Schizosaccharomyces pombe: one gene and its partners. Changing the gene in region 2 together with the main gene of any one other region gives a genetic interaction. Each region holds a gene or a part of one and is shown on either strand. Other genes may lie near its edges.

The links.
Region 1: mutations in snz1 (region 2) and txl1 together harm fitness more than expected from each alone (negative genetic interaction), as found in Schizosaccharomyces pombe (one large-scale study listed by BioGRID).
Region 3: mutations in snz1 (region 2) and mug30 together harm fitness more than expected from each alone (negative genetic interaction), as found in Schizosaccharomyces pombe (one large-scale study listed by BioGRID).
Region 4: mutations in snz1 (region 2) and dap1 together harm fitness more than expected from each alone (negative genetic interaction), as found in Schizosaccharomyces pombe (one large-scale study listed by BioGRID).

Annotation. Positions count from the first base shown.
Region 1 is NC_003423.3:765,594-769,011, forward strand, and holds txl1 (thioredoxin-1-like protein Txl1), read right to left. Parts: upstream 1,898-3,418; 5' UTR 1,886-1,897; coding exon 1,662-1,885; intron 1,610-1,661; coding exon 961-1,609; 3' UTR 759-960; downstream 1-758. Other genes in the region: ubiquitin C-terminal hydrolase Ubp10, read left to right, coding at 1-660; DNA repair ERCC8 family protein ckn1, read left to right, coding at 2,189-2,225, 2,276-2,423, 2,487-2,594, 2,675-2,792, 2,841-2,919, 2,964-3,418. UniProt on the Schizosaccharomyces pombe protein: Has a role in cellular detoxification of alkyl hydroperoxide.
Region 2 is NC_003424.3:5,412,893-5,416,693, reverse strand, and holds snz1 (pyridoxal 5'-phosphate synthase (glutamine hydrolyzing)), read right to left. Parts: upstream 1,757-3,801; 5' UTR 1,509-1,756; coding exon 618-1,508; 3' UTR 501-617; downstream 1-500. Other genes in the region: mtq1 (S-adenosylmethionine-dependent methyltransferase), read left to right, coding at 1-343.
Region 3 is NC_003423.3:3,686,396-3,692,410, reverse strand, and holds mug30 (ubiquitin-protein ligase E3), read right to left. Parts: upstream 3,873-6,015; coding exon 3,639-3,872; exon of another isoform or gene 3,595-3,638; coding exon 1,405-3,594; 3' UTR 1,211-1,404; coding exon of another isoform or gene 563-1,210; 3' UTR 562-562; downstream 1-561. Other genes in the region: CLRC complex-Argonaute linker protein Stc1, read left to right, coding at 563-1,210; SPOM_SPBP8B7.26 (uncharacterized protein), read right to left, coding at 4,445-5,148, 5,203-5,287; cyclophilin family peptidyl-prolyl cis-trans isomerase Cyp4, read right to left, coding at 5,812-5,954. UniProt on the Schizosaccharomyces pombe protein: Probable E3 ubiquitin-protein ligase. Has a role in meiosis.
Region 4 is NC_003424.3:4,153,260-4,156,820, reverse strand, and holds dap1 (cytochrome P450 regulator Dap1), read right to left. Parts: upstream 1,362-3,561; 5' UTR 1,349-1,361; coding exon 848-1,348; 3' UTR 501-847; downstream 1-500. Other genes in the region: Clr6 and Rpd3L histone deacetylase complex subunit Sds3, read right to left, coding at 1-282. UniProt on the Schizosaccharomyces pombe protein: Required for sterol biosynthesis. Functions as a positive regulator of cytochrome P450 enzymes erg5 and erg11. Function requires bound heme.

The DNA of each region.
Region 1 (3,418 bases), on a different chromosome or scaffold from region 2:
ACCATAGCAAAACCTACTTCTATTGTACATTACAGCTTTCAAGGATTTGTACGTATTGAATCACAGAAAATTCGCCAACATGCTGAAAAGGGAGAGCAAGTTGTGTTTACTGGTGATAGGGTTATACAAACTAACGTCGTCCCTTTTCTTTACCTTACTCTTGATTTACCTCCGAAACCCATATTCCAAGATGAGTTTGAAGGTAATATCATCCCACAAGTAGAATTAAAAGAGATACTTAACAAATATAATGGGGTACATACCCAAGAACTTGCAGGTATGCGACGGCGTTTTCATTTAATGACGGCTCCTCCATACTTTATATTTCACATCAAAAGATTTATGAAAAACAATTACTTTACGGAAAGAAACCAAACTATAGTGACATTTCCTTTGGATGATTTTGATATGAGCCCATTTATTGATGACTCATTTATCCAGTCAAATCCGAAAATCTCTACGAAATACAACCTCGTTGCTAATATTATACATGAGTCCGTGACACATGCTGAAGAAGAATTTCATAACTTCCGAATTCAAATTCGAAACCCCTCTACCAATAAATGGTATCAAATTCAAGACTTATATGTTGAAGAAATCAGTAGCGATATGATTCGTTTAGGCGAAAGTTTTATTCAGCTTTGGGAAAGGTCATCATAGTGTTAATATGTGGAATTTTTGGATTTCTCACAAAATTTCCTCTACGTGAGACAAAATTAAAAAACATTCATTTTATTTATCAAACGTTACCGCTTAGAAAATCTTTATTCTATATAAATTAGATTATCCATTTATATTCCCATTTCGTGAGTAGTCAGCAATTACAATGCTCAAATGAAAGGTTTGTAGTATTCTTTGGTATCAAGACACCAGATTGGTCGAGTAATGTATACGAAACTAGATTTTCATAAAGGTAAATTCGTAAACCGTCATGATTTTAGTTAACAAATTGTTAAGCACCTAAGCTTCGACCTTTTGTAGTTTTCCTTTACTTGAATCACCAACAGGCTCACCAAATAATTCTAAGCGAGAAATCTTAGTAGTTTCTTCTTCTCCGACATTCGAATAAATAAAAATAACGAGAGAATTGACACGTTGAAATTTAACAAAACGAAGGGGAATAATTGTAGGTTGATCGTCTTGTTCGTAAACTATATCCTCAATGACTTGAGTTGGAGTAAATGACTCAGCATCTTCAAAAGAAAGATTGTTGGGCTGATTGATGTACAATTTGATGGTTTTTGGAGCACTCGAAGTTTCTCCCTTAACAGGAGTAATTGCAATAGAATGAACCTTTACCACTTCAAGAAAAGGTATGTATATCATTAATTGCTCGTCAACATCCGACTCTAAAAATGAGGAAGGATTACTGTTAAATGCACTTTTCAAATCGTGATCATCTTGTTGATTTAGACATTCCAATTGGGGATTTTCAATGCAGCCTTGCAAGCTAGCAAAACCCTTGACAGGTGCCGATGACGAAGAAGCAAGAGCGCCAGTTCCTGTGGCTTTTGAGGAAATCAAAGCAACTTTTTCCTTCAAAGCTTGTGGGTTTGCTCCAGTTAGCATATCAATTTGTTTGCCATTTTCAAAGAAAACAAATGTAGGCCTAAAATGTTAGCAAAACCAATGGTACAGTGACGGATTAGGTAAACACATACATTGCTTTGACGCCAAGCCCGGAGGCAATTTGACGTTGCTCGTCTACATTTACTTTAGCAAAAACGAATTTGGGGCTAGCATATTTCGATGCTAATTGTGAAAATAAGGGAGAAATTGCTTTGCAAGGACCACACCAATCGGCATAGCAATCAACTGCAAGATATCCGGACTTAGGGATCGTTGAGATCCAGTGCTGGTACGATCTAATTTCAATAACTGACATATGGTTGAGGTTGAGTTCTATAAACCGTCTGCCAATACCATCTCGTACACCACGACCGTTATTAGTAGTGCGTCTAGCCAACGTCGAAAAACATATTTTTTTATTATTGTTTCCTGGAAACTACCTTTGAGTTTGCTATTTAAACATAGAAGTTGATTAATTGACAGTATTATTTACCGCTCATATTAAACTAGCTGTAATTTTATTTAGACTTAATTTGTTATACATGGTTTAAAAACCGGGTTGTTTTAAGCTGTCAGTTGCTTACTGTAGCATCTGAGTCTATTTCTTAGGTGAAATCGAATGAATTCTTTTTTATTGGCACGAGAATGGGGCCAAGGTAATGCAATTGATTATGTGATATAAGGATTTCAAGTCTCACATTTGTAGAGCCAAATAGCTCTTTTCGAAGGCAACTACTGCAGCATCGTCTTCAACGGTTAGCGCTGAATCCGGATGTGAAAATTAAACGTAGACACGGTGCGGGCATTTTAGGATCCGTAAATGCACTAAGCATTGATAATACAATTCATCAGCTGTATGACCTATATCGTTGATTTATCAAAGCTTTCAATTTTTGGTTAACAATTTCTATTGACAGCATGGTCTCTGGAGGAGCCAACTCGTCTATCAATGTTTGGGACCTACAAAATATTGACCAAAAGGAAGATGAAGATTTAATTTTGGATACCTTAAATGCAGTTCCTGCGTAAGCATTCATTTTCTACCTAGTTTATGACAATTTCAATATATACACTAGTGATCAATAGCTAACTTGCGGTGTTTTAGTCGAACGAGTCATAAGTTTGGAATAACAGATTTGCATTGGTTTCCGTTTGATAATGGTATTTTTACTAGCTCGTCGTTCGATCATACGCTCAAGGTTTGGGATGTTTCTACTTTACAGGTAATAAAAGTAGAAATCGCAAATTAACCAATGTTCTAATATTGGTAGGAAGCTTACACTTTTACTATGGAGGACATGATTTATTCACATGCATGGTCGCCCATTGCATCACATTGTTTAATTGCCAGTACGTTATATTCTTCATTCTTGAGATTGTTCATCTAACGATAGCCGCCTACCGGTCTTCGTCTATTCGGCTTTGTGATATGCAAAGTGGTAGTTATACTCATAGTTTGTCTGGACACACGGGTAATGTCCTTGCGGTGGATTGGTGTCCTAAGAATGAATTCGTGTTAGCGTCCGGCTCTGCAGATGGCACTTGCAGACTTTGGGACATTCGTAAAGTATCATCCAGCTTCGCATGTATGGATCTACATAATAAGTATTTACCCAGTAACCAGACAAATATATCTCATTACGGCACCGTTAATGGATTAGCTTGGACTTCAGATGCTCGATATTTGGCAAGTTGTGGTACCGACGATCGAATAAGAGTATGGAATATGGAAAGTGGAAGAAACACATTGAGAGAATTTGGACCTATTATTCATAACCAGACTACTTCCTTCGCGGTACATCCTTGCATGATCCAACCCTCTATGGATTCAGATGTTTTTGTGTTATTC
Region 2 (3,801 bases):
GTTGCTATGCAATCCTCCTTATATATCTGATGATGATTTTGCTGCACAAACCGACATTTCTGTGCGCAAATACGAGCCCAAGCTGGCTCTTTTAGCTAAAAACGGAGGTAATGAGTTTTATTACAAATTTAGTCAGTACATAAAAAGGATGTTACAAAGAAACGCCAAGGATTTTGTACCTTTATCCTTAATAGTTTTTGAAATCGGTAGCACTCATCAAGCTAAAATAGTGAAATCATTATTTGATGATACCAACTGGCAAGCGAATATTGAACAGGATGGCGCACATCAAGATCGAGTGGTAATAATCACCAGAAAAGATAGACGACTCATTGACATTTAAAAAGACTTCATTTGCTAAAACACAAAGAAATTATAACGCACTGAATCAAACATCGTTTTGAATCTGACCTGACTTACAAACATTTACGACTTTAGTCATAAATTCCAGACTAAGCTAACACTTAATACAATGATGAATTCAAAGTTACTAGGAGATTAAATCAAAATGAAACAAAAAAAAACTTTTTATTTAGTGAGTAAAAATAATATCAACAGATAAAATTAAACATTAAATGACATCTGCATTACGGAGAATATAAATCCTTCTCTAATATTTACCACCCGCGAGTAGCCAATTTTTCCTTCTCCTCCAAAGAGCTAACGCTGCGACCAACCATGGCGGCGCCCAAGTTCTCACTAACTTCAGCTAAAATCTTAGGATCGTTATAGTGAGTAACGGCACGAACAATGGCACGAGCACGCTTGGCCGGGTCACCAGACAAGAAGATGCCAGATCCTACAAAAACACCATCACAGCCAAGTTGCATCATGAGAGCAGCATCAGCAGGAGTGGCAACACCACCAGCAGCAAAGTTGACAACAGGCAAACGGCCTAATTGAGCACACTCCTTAACCAAATCAATGGGGGCGGCAATCTCCTTGGCATAGGTGTACAACTCATCGGGAGACATAGACTTCACACGACGAAGTTCACCTTGCATTTGGCGAGTGTGGCGGACAGCCTCCACAACATCACCAGTACCGGCCTCACCCTTGGTACGAATCATGGCAGCACCCTCGGAAATACGGCGCAGAGCTTCACCCAAGTTACGGCTGCCACAAACAAATGGAACAGTGAACTTGGATTTCTCGATATGGTTGATATCATCAGCAGGCGTTAAAACTTCAGACTCATCAATATAGTCAACACCAATGCTTTCCAAAATTTGAGCCTCGACGAAGTGTCCAATACGAACCTTAGCCATGACAGGAATTGAGACAGCAGCTTGAATTTCCTTGATCATAGAGGGATCGGACATACGAGCAACACCGCCCTGAGCACGAATATCGGCAGGAACACGCTCCAATGCCATGACAGCGCAAGCACCAGCAGCTTCAGCAATACGAGCTTGCTCTGCATTCACGACATCCATGATAACGCCACCCTTGAGCATTTGAGCAAGACCAGCCTTGACTTGAGTAGATCCCTTAATTTCGGCAGACATGATTAAGTAGATGCGATTAATTAAAATTTACTTTTTCCAAGCAAACAATAGGATGTATAAAGTGGTAAAACGAAAATGCAACAATGATTTTTCTATAGATATAATGGTCTTTGCCTTTAGACAAATGAGATACAAGGATCCTTTAAAGAAAACACCTAAAAATCAAAAAAATGAACCTTTCGAAACTCAGAACCTGACCAAGTTTTTATGTCAACACACAAAATGTGACTGTGATGATGGAAGAAATTAATCGAATAGCAAACAACACTCGCCTTATATACATTTTCATGCTTACCAAGATGTAATATAACGAAGCGTAGCATACACTACTTTAGGAAGTAAATGTCCGAAACCATTTGATTGATCCCGATAAGTATACAGTGGAGGCGCGTAGAAGATGTAAGCAACTTACAATTGATGTTGAAGCGATTTACAAAGAGGCGGATGTCTTTCTTTATCTAAACGACCTGCTAAACCTAACGTCAAATTGTTATGCTTGGAGGGAAAGCACAAAAACTGTTTCTCTCCTAAAGTCGACTTTAATAAAAGAATCCTCCTATTTATTTACATGCTGCAATTATCCGACAATTCATACTTTTGAGATGCTTCGTCATACTTTTAAAACGTACAAAACAATAAAGAATTACTAAATGAAATTGCTCATCATATATCCGGCGTATAAGTCATGTCTTTACTACCTTTATGGAAAGTTGCATACATTTTTTAGCGATCAATGGTAACAGGCGTGAACCGATTGCATCGGAAATATGGATATAAGCGTTCTACCAGATAATTTCTTGGTATGTTACCGATCAGCGTCTGCAATGTCCGTAATTTTTTGATGGATTAGGATACTGACTACCGACACCCAATATTCTTTATCTTATTTTGTGGGGACTGAGGTATCCAAGTCGCCGAAGAATGATCGATGTATCCATCTTGCGAGATATTTGCATGTCCATGGAAATAGATTTTATCAATACTAATTAAGAAGCCGCAAGTAGAGCCTTTCCTAACAAGGGCTTTATGCATCGCTTTATATACGCTGCTTCAATTGTCATTAGATTTTTGTTATGCAGTAATGTTTAACATTGTTTACCTTGAAACAAGATCGTTGAACTGGAAATGTAGTAATACTTCAAGGACTCCTCGTGTCCTGTTTGTTGTTTAATATAAACATACCAGGAATTGATTGGTATAACAATAACTGACTAGTAAAAAAAATCTGAAAAGAAACACATATTATTTATAACACTGCAATGTACCTAAAAACTGAAATACTCGTTTTCCACTGCTGTCTTATAGACTCATTTGAAAGGGTTTCAGCGTTTTTGTATGCAGTCATCCTCCCTATGAAACTAGTTGGCCATAAAGCGGTAGTAATTACTTTTGTTTTTCAAGCTAATAGCGGATGAGTAGAAGTACCAAAAAATTTACAACAAACTTTATCAAAATAACATCCTAGTTGTAAATTTTATGTGTAGATTAATTGATTTTATGGTATCTTTTGTTTTTAAATAAATTATTCCATTTTTCCCTCTCAAATTATTATTTTTTTTTTAAATATGACTGTTTTTTGCCATATTCGCTGTTTAGTTTGCACTTTTTTAGTTAGCTGAGTAACGTTATTACTGTCTCTTTGTAATCTATAAATATAAGCATTTTATTACATCTTTTCAAAAAAAAAATAATAATAATAATAATAATAAAATTTTATTACTGAAACAGCGTAGAATTCCGTGGCATGTTGGGTAATACTTTTCACATGCCGTAGAGAAAATATCAAAAATTGTTTCCTTTTACGTTACAACCCCTACCAACGCCCTAACATCATAAAAGAAAAAGATTTAAAGTAGAAATAACAAGTTACAAAAGTCGCCCGCAACAGGTTACTTTGGTCGATCTACATGTACACCAAAAAAGTGACATTTACTGAGGAAATACGAGGAATGAGTCTTTCAAAAAATTATGTACGTATTAGAAAAAAATTACTATTCAGATATTCAACGACAACAAAGTAATCCATTATAAGTTGGTCAAGCAGAAAACGATAAGCAAATAAGATAAAATAAAAAAAGATATGACTAGATCATTCATAGATGTAAAGAGTTTAATTAACAAGGAGAGACAAATGCCCAAAAGAAGAGGGGGTTTAATTAGTAGAAAATCACTTAGCCGTCACTCACAAAACCAATAATAAAATGTATTAATGGTATAGGGAATCAACAAAGTCAAAGACTAATGAACGAAGGAATAATTGGAACTATGAGGATTGGTGTCAAATTATCCTTAA
Region 3 (6,015 bases), on a different chromosome or scaffold from region 2:
AATTTGTTTAGAAGCTTCTGACATTCTTCGGGATTTTACAAATCATACAATTCCATTTAAGGTAGGAAAAGTGTAGGCTATCTAAAGTTTTATTATTCCGTTTATTTTCAAAGAATAATTCGCAATCAAAAACTTGAAGGCGAGAATAATAGAATGGGAAGCAGTATTTATTTTGAAAACAACCCTTTGAATATGTGCAATTTTCATTGTCAATAGAACATGAAGCAATCAACAAATATATGTATTCTTTTTTGCTTTAATATCATTGATTCACCTATTAATCGAACCGAACGGTAGTAAATTTTATATTAATGCATTTACAGCCTGATCAGCGTAAAGATCTCAATGACAATTGATAGGACGGCTTGTATTACTGTTTTTTTTTTCTAAATCCTGATTAAGCCTGTATGTTTCTTCTATTTGGTTGTCAAGGCTATCACATTTTGTTCATTAAAGGTATTGTCTACTTAATGCTTCTAACGTCAGCAGCTAATTAAAATTATTTCAGTACATATATTCATTTATAAGAGTATTGTTACCATATTAATAATAATAAAAAAATATGGATTTTAAGAGTCGAAAATATAAAATTAAAAAGCATCCGAAGGATTGCAAACTACATGCTAAAAAATACCGGGGTACATTGAATTCAAAAGGGAAAAATGATAATGATTGTTTAATTATGTGTATGAGATGCAGAAAGGTTAAAGGGATAGACTCTTACAGCAAAACTCAATGGAGCAAAACGTTTACATTTGTTCGTGGGAGAACGGTTAGCGTTTCAGACCCAAAAGTGATATGTCGTACCTGCCAGCCCAAACAGCATGATTCAATTTGGTGTACCGCTTGTCAACAAACTAAGGGCATTAATGAATTCTCTAAGGCACAAAGACATGTCCTGGATCCACGATGTCAGATATGTGTACATTCACAAAGGAACGACGGTGATGATAATTTGGAATCTGATAAGTTCGTTGATCCTTTCATAGGTGATGATTCTGACTTAGACGATGATATCTACATTCATGATAAACAAACCATAAACTCAGAATACGCTGACGATGTTTCTGATAATACTGACGAAGAGCGAACTGAAAGCAAGGGGCAACAGGAAAGCAATTCAGCTGAAGAATATGATGATGATGACTCTGATGAAGACAGGATGGAAGAGATATTTCAGCAATTCAAAAAAGAAAAACAAATTGTATAGAGACACGTTTTATATTCATCCTTATTTGAATTATGTAAAGATTTGCTTACGATCCCATTTTATATGATAAATTATAAAGGTCCATTAGTGCTAATGTAGACCTTAAAATATGTTGAATTTAATTTAGATCTTAAATAAATAGATATATGTATATAGTAGTAAAAGGTAAGGAATTGCGAACCCTGATGTAAACACTAGCGTATATTGAACCCATTAGTTTCAAGCAACGCCGTGTCTAATTTTTTTTTTAACTTTTCCCTACTGGAGTATTCCCAAATACATAAGTGATTGAAGCAAGTATGAGAGATAGGAAGTTGATCACTGTCAGGTCCGAGAACTGAGATTCTTAATTGAAAATTATGTGCCCCAGTAGCGGGAATGCGATCGCTTCCTGTGACGAAAATGAGAAAAAGTTTTTGCATTTTTAGCGAATAGTGTGATATCAAATCCCAAAACCAAAGTATTATTTTTCTTTTTGATACGAAAGAGTGGCAGAGATATTTAGATGCAGTCATACTTGGTTCACTTTCAGATATAGAATTTGAAATCGCATTTTGGTCATAAAAATCATAAACGCAGACATTTTTGAGTAGCTCCCAGTCAATAACTTCTTCACTTCCTCTGATCAACTTGCTGATTTCATTGTCTTGAAACAACGATATGGCGTTACCTCCACATACTTTCATAAAGCCATCGAAAAAAGCAGAAAATTGTTTTTTTACAGTAGTATTTAAGAGATAATCTACATACCTCAAAACATATTCTTTTCTGTTCTCATTATCAACACTCAATTCAGAGCCTCCTTCTTTCAACTCAACAGTGCGAAAGCCCTCGACAGCTTTGAGATTAATTGTAAAATTAAGACCGTAAGTATTTTTTACATCTCCTTCAAATAGTAAAAGCTCTTTTAATCCTCGATATAGACTAGGCTGAAAATCATCCAAGTCATTGAAACTTAGAGGTAACTGTAAAAGTTTTTTATAGAAAGCTCTGGGCATCTGTACATCCAAATTTATTGAATTGTGGATTGCAATTCCCATCAATATACCTGACATATGATAGTAATCAATTTCTTTCGACCTGTGTGAATAATTAAACCATAGATAATTTGAAGACTCTTCACAGTTCACAAATAATCCAAACTCAGGGCTAAAAACTTTCCTCGTTAAAAGCAGCAACCATTCTCTCTTTAATCCTCCTGCATCGATTCCTTCTTCACCTAAAAACTCAACTTTTAATGCCTTTCTAAAATCTTTATTTCTGTCATTAATTTGCCTTAGGCTGTCTTCTAACAGTCGATCTCGCCGAACACGAATCATCAAATAAGGTTCAACGTTCATTTTGGAAAGAATTGAAGAGAAAAATGCTTCTCTTGCTTTAATCTCCATTTTTCTCCGAGCATCAAGCTGAAGAATACTAATTTTAGCACCCATTGAAAGAAGAAAAGGATACTGGCAAAAACAAAAGCAATTGATTTTTTGCTCCCATAACTCAAAGTCGTGATAAAGATTTATGAAATCAGCCATTATGCAGTAAAATGAAGATCTGTCTATCAGTCTCATTTGCGAATTAGCAGAGTATAATAAGGCCATAGTAATAGCTGCTGACTTAATTTGCCAGTCATTATTATAGTAGTGCTTCCTTTTGTTTCTACTGTAAGTTTCCATTAATCGTTGACCAATAAACTTGTTTATGAGATCGACTTTTCTTCGAAAAAACTTAGGATTGTTGTAAGGTTGTTTTTTAAAACAAGAAATAAAAAAATGATGTGTCTTCTCGTTCAAGTTAGATAAAACTCCCAAAATCCTCTTCAAAATGCTGCTACTCTTGTTCACTATATTCTTTGATTTTGAGTTCAACAAAGGATTTTCCAAAAGAATGAGAAGATATTGATAATCCGCTGGATCATGACAATATAGCATGGGTCTCCGAAGTAAACTCTCGATAGCTCTTAACAACTCATTTGTTATTAAAATGTCTAAATTTGTAATATCATGGTACAATTGGTAAATGAGCTTATAATTTAGTCCGGAAGATTGGATTGAACAACCATTTTTAACCGAGAACAGTTTATTCAATATCGGTGGACTTCCAAATACTAAGGATATAAGTTCTCGTAATGGTAAGCCTGCAGCCACAATAGCTTGAACGTTGCCAGTTCGCTGCTTAGCAAGTTGCAAGGCACTTCGTGTTTGATGAATTGTTTCAACAAAATGTTCAACTGAGATAAATTGTGATCCATCGGTTGAAGCTTTTGTCTTTATTTGGGAGCCACTTAAACAAAAATAAACATCGTTCACAGTCATACATAATGAACAACGAAAGCACATAGCTTGTGCAGGGTAGCGCAGGACGCTATTACAACAAATGCAGGGCCTGATCACCTATAATTTTGTTAATAAATTAGCCAAACAATTAGCCTAAATACCAATTTCTCTGAATTCCCGTAACTATCATTAGAAATTGTCTCATGAAACGACTGTCGAAGTCGAAGTGGATTTTCACCCATACGTTGACAAACTAACTCTCTTAAGCGACGTGATATTTTTGAATTTGTATTATTGTCAAGTTCTGAGCGGCTAGAAAAACTAGAGCCATGAAGTGCTGGGAGCGTTCTACGGTTTCCAGAAGACACATTGGCTATTTCAATAGGGCGACTCATATAAGCAATTCACCTTCTAAGAAAGATCTATATTTCGCTCTACAGATAAACAATTGGGACTAACCCAAAACAAAAAGACAAATCTGTAAAAGTATGGTACATATCTAGGCCATACTACACTATACATATATTGGTATAGTTATTTCTTAAATATTACGATATTCAACAGGTTCTCATGGCGTAGTCATTCTAACATTCTTTCGTCAAAAGATCATCACAGTTGAACCAATTTTCTAAGATCTTTGAAGGTGAATACTGTTAAAACAGATAAGTTCTTTACTCTTCTTGTATAATATGTATGTCATTAAATGCAGAAGTAAATATTATGACATTTACAAAGAAAATTACCATGTCGACTTCGCAGTACCTTATTTAAGATTTTTGAACGTTCCTACATTGATGATACCTTTCATTTTAAATTGTCAAATTACCTAGTATGTACGACTATTCGTAGGAAAGTTGATTTAAGAAGATTATGATTTAAACATTGAATAACATCTAGTATGCTAAATAGGCCATCCTAGGTAATAATGGTGTAGTAAGAGAAAGAAAATAGAAAGCAAAAATTTGGTTTATAGGTTGGGTCGAGTATTCCTTTGAACCGGAGGTGGAACAGAAGTTGGCGAGCTTACACCGGACGAATTACTAGAAGTTCGGGCAGCAAGTCTTCTTGGCTTTGGAGGTGCAGGTGGAGGTGGTTTCTTAACAGGCGACGCTGTAGAAGCAGCAGTCGCCGCGGGAACAGATCCAGATGCATATGAACTGTTTTGAGAAACCCTTCGGGGAGGAGGAACCGGCAAGGGTGCATTTGCAGAAGCTGTAGGGAGAGGAGAAGAGGCAGTATAATTAGCGTTTGACTGATAAGTTTGGGAATAAGAACCAGAAGAGCTGTAGGAGGGAGGTGGGGGCATCTGAGACATTACATTAGGACGAACAGGAGGTGGTGGGACTTGTTCTTGATTTAAGACGGACGGACGACTCCCTGGTCGACTAGGAAGTGAAGGAGTCCCTCTTGAAGGAAGAGCGGGTTCCTTGGGGGGCTGTGAAGGTTGGGAATAAGAAGGCTGCGAATAAGAGGGTTTCGAATAATCTTGATTTCCTACAGCCGGGCTAGCCGTTCTAGGTGTACTTCCAGTACTACTACCACCGGCACGCAACTGTGAAGCATGTTTTGGAGGAGGAGGCAATTTTGTAACATCGACATATTTTATTGATAAACGAGGCCCGGTTCCATGAACGGATCTAATATCATACATAGCATCTTCGCCATGTTCACCTATAAATCCCATTTTGTTAGTAATGTCTCAAAAAGCAAAGGAAATATGCTTACCTGGTAATTTCGATGTAATCTTATTCTGGAAGCGGTTCGCAGAATCCGACATCGAATGCAGTGATTTTTTTGTTGAGTCAAACATTACGATTAGTTTGAAATTGATTTCTCACAATTGACGCAAAAACCGATTTTACCCAAATGTTTGCGGTGGACAGCTTCCGACTCTCGAAATTCCTTAAGTCCGCTTTTCTAAGAGCCCATAGGGTAAACAACTACACAACGTGCTAGTAATATCAGCCAGCTGATAGGAAAAAATAATGTCTTTGAGTTCTTTTTGATAAAACATAACAAAATAGTAAGCAGCTAATAAGCTTCGCGTTTGTTGTCAATACTTACTATCAGAATTGCAGCATTGCTATTACGCTTGCTAAATTGGATAATATACGTAGAGTTCTATATTCATTCAATTGAAAACTTGTTAAAATCGCATTCTTTATGCGTATATTAGTTATACAACTATGGCTGTCAGAAAATGCAAACAAACTACCACAAGAAGTGATCCTTCCAATGATAAACGTTTATGTTAACAGAATGTAAAATCATTGCTTTTCAAGTAAATCTTATAAACACTAGATGTTGATGACTTTCATAAATAGAAAGTAGGGATTACAATTCATCTGTTCCGTCATCTTCAACATTTTCTTGAGACAACTGCCCAGATTTGATAATTTTTACATCTTCAAGAGGCTTATCACGGTTGTCAGTCTCAGCTTTGGAAATTTTCTTGACAATATCGTAACCAGAAAGGACTGATAAAATTAGTATTAGCAAACAAAAAAAAGGAAAAAGAAAACAAATAGTCACTTTTAT
Region 4 (3,561 bases), 1.3 Mb from region 2:
GTACTCCTCCTTGGCTGCTTTCATCTCCACTTCGTATTCCTCTTGTGCCCGATTCACCAAAAACGTTCTCCAACGCTCTGCAATTTCCAATTCCTCATCTCTACTCCTTCTAAGTTCATCTGCCAAATCTAAAAGAGTTTTACAAGTTCCGTTACGAATAGATTCCAATTCAGCTTCCAGTTCTGCTTTTTTGGCTCGGAACTCACTAGCTGTAAGTGGATTGTTCAATAAAGGATCCAGTTCTTCTTTTTCATTGTCAAAGACTCTCGAAAGGACGTCCATGACGCTTTAACTCTTTTACCACCTATTTGTTCGTGACAAAACAATTTTGTCCTTCTTCCAGCTACTGACGAAGGATTTTAAGGGTAAGGGTAAGATTCTCCGAATACGAAATAAAGTTATCTAAACGAGAAAAGTTGTGCTAATAATTATCAGATGAACAACGGTTTACAATAATTCTTCAAAATGGATCATACATCTACTACCATTTATATATGTTACAACAAAATAGAAGACACAGATGGTTATTAAGTTTTCATTGTCAAAAAAAAACATGGAAATGACATACAATGTTTTTTAAAAGATGCTATCGTAACCTTATCAAGGCACCAAAATTACTGCTACAAGGACTTTTTTCAACATTGCTTAAGAGCCTCTATTTCATGCAAGATAATTTTTGAAAGCAATCATGCTTCTAGTAATTTCATAACACATCATCAAATGTACCCAAATACTACAGATTGATCCTTCGGACGCGGAACGTATACCACTTGTCCTAGATTATCCCAAAGAAAAGATCATAAACCCATAAGCATGAAAGAAGTCATAAAAAACAGGTTTGTCGCTATTAATTATGCGCAACTTTTTCTTCGGTTTCTGAAATAGTAGCTGCTGCTCTGGCCTCTCTGGGACTTATCAGCCTGCCAACAGCTTGATATTTTTGGTCAAAAAATGCTTTCCAATCGTTTAGAGCCTGCCTCTCCTCATCGTTTAAATCACTGCAATCATCCAATTCTTCTGCATCTGAATCAGGAATAAATTCATCGTCAAAACTATTTTTTGCTAAACCACGACTGGCATCATGACCGGCAAAAGCACTATAAGGGCCTTGTGGACCATAAAATTTTGATCCCATTGTAACGTTGTACACAGTTCCCTTGATAGCAAGAAAAACCAATGAATTTTTGGAGCCATTATATTCCTTCAGTTCTGCTGGAGTATAATCTCTCCATTCGGGCTGTTTTGGCTCTTCGCTTGCAATAAAAGATTTCTCATTCTTCCTTCTCCAGCGAGTGATTAGCAAATAAAGAAATAAGGTTACTATAAAAACAACTTGTGTAGATGCCATGGTGTTGGTTTATGGAAGAATCAACTGGTCGCATGATTCTCTCAAAACCTTCGCACTACCTGCTTAGAAGAATACGTACGATAGTTTTGTTACCATGGTACATTACTATATACGGACGGTTATAGAGAATATGTTTATTGCAGTCTCGTTTTCTGCACACATAAACTGTTTAAAAGGCACTGTAATAAAGCATAAGTTAAAAATTTTGGTTAGTTATGTAATTATATATCAATGATTATGTTGCTCATATATACGCACAGAATGGAACATAGCATATCTTATTTACTATGACAAGAATCTTACAAAAGGTTACAATACTCTTTATGCATGTATAGTCTGCGTAATGGTGTTTTGATTTATTCAACAAAGCGAGAAATCGTAGTCGCACGACATTTTTTTAGTAAAAAAAACAAAATTTCTCAACAGCATAGTTATCCAGGCATACACGAACAATGTTTAAACAAACTGCTGTTCAGAACTTGTTTCTCGTTTCACAACTATTGGTTCAAAGAGCTGGGTTTAATAGAATATTGAGCCTTCTGGCTCGTGTTCATCATGGTAGCAGCATGAGTCGAACGCATGCCTATATCATTTGAAATAGTATGCTTCCACTCGTACAAAATGCAAACCTTTCAAGACTATGATTAAAAGTGCTTTATATATAACTAGCAATATATCAGTATCATTACGATTTAAATTTATCCTTTTTTTAAACCAACTAGTTTACTTGCTTTGTGTGCTAGATTACCAACTAGTATCTCACTACTCTCCAACATTATTTCCGTTTCAGTAGAATTATCGATTGATATCAAAGTTTTATTTAAATATGGTAAAACAAGTCTTAGTTTATATCATCAAGCTAATCACGTTCATCCTATAAAGCTACCTAGCAACTACATTAATATGTTGTAGCCTACCGACTCACTGCAATTTCACAAAGTTGAAGAATGCAGTAAAGAGTACTAAGATGACTACATGCCAAAAGAGGCAATAGTCTTCGCACAATCATTGGCACTTGCAAACGTGGAAATTTCTTTTGCAAGCAATTTGACTTGTGTGCGTTGGGTAGGCTATAAACTAAGGAAAATGCAACCTTTATTATTTCCATCCGGTACTACGAAGCAGTCACATTAACCTAACCTGAAGCGAATGAACAGAATAAGAAAATTCTGATAATCTAACAGTCGTTATGGGATTAGTTACTAGAATTAAGCATTCGATTTAGCAAACAAGATCCCAACTATTCGGAATCGGCTCTCCTGAAATCCAAGGTCATTTTGCTACCATTAATTCTCTCGGTAAACCATTATGAATCAGAAATAACGCTCATGCTGATGGACTATAGAATATAGCAGCAAGCATTGTTCTACATAATCGAGGGTTTGTTTTTGTTAAAGAAGCTTATGTATTTGACTAGTAGTAGAAAGGAACCTTTTTATCTCCGTTAATAATAATTATTAAAGTAAACAAATACCATTAATCGAGTAAATAAATATACAAAATATACTTGAACGATCGGCTATTTACAGGAGCTGTAAGATTAAATTGAATATAAAATAATATTTCTTATGGAAAAATTGTTCGGCTAGTTTAGTGTAAATATTCACCGAAGGCTTATATACAGTGTCTATATGATGATGGTTGGTAATTTTTCTTGACAATTTGTTGTGTAAGTATGACTTGACTAGCCTAAGAAAATCGTTTGATTTTATTGACCATCTTACATATCCAAGTGTAATGAAATTTGCAGCTGTTGTCAAGCGGTAGATGTGAATGTATCGTAAGACCGGTAATTTTTAAAAAAAAAAAAAAAAAAAAAAAGAAGAAAAACAGGTCAGTCATTATTTCCTCCAATGTACAGTCATACCAAGAAATCATACAAGTGTTGCCCTTCTTCTTTGATGAATTATTTTGCCGAATAAAATCAATAAACACCGATGGTACAAGTAAACAAAGATTCGGCGAGGAAGTGAAGCCGATGAAGAGTGTAATTAAAGGACGGTAGTAGGTGATTGAGGGTTTTTTTATTATTGAAGAATTTTGGTAGTATAGCTTTATTTATTAAGATAAAAAAATTATTAATTCAAATTTAAAAACTTTTTGAAGCTGATAACGTTGTTTACTGTTTTTAGTCTACAAAATTAATCAATGTTTAATAGTATATGTAAACATCATCCACAGTCGTGAATCAAATCTCCAGTATTCTTTCATGA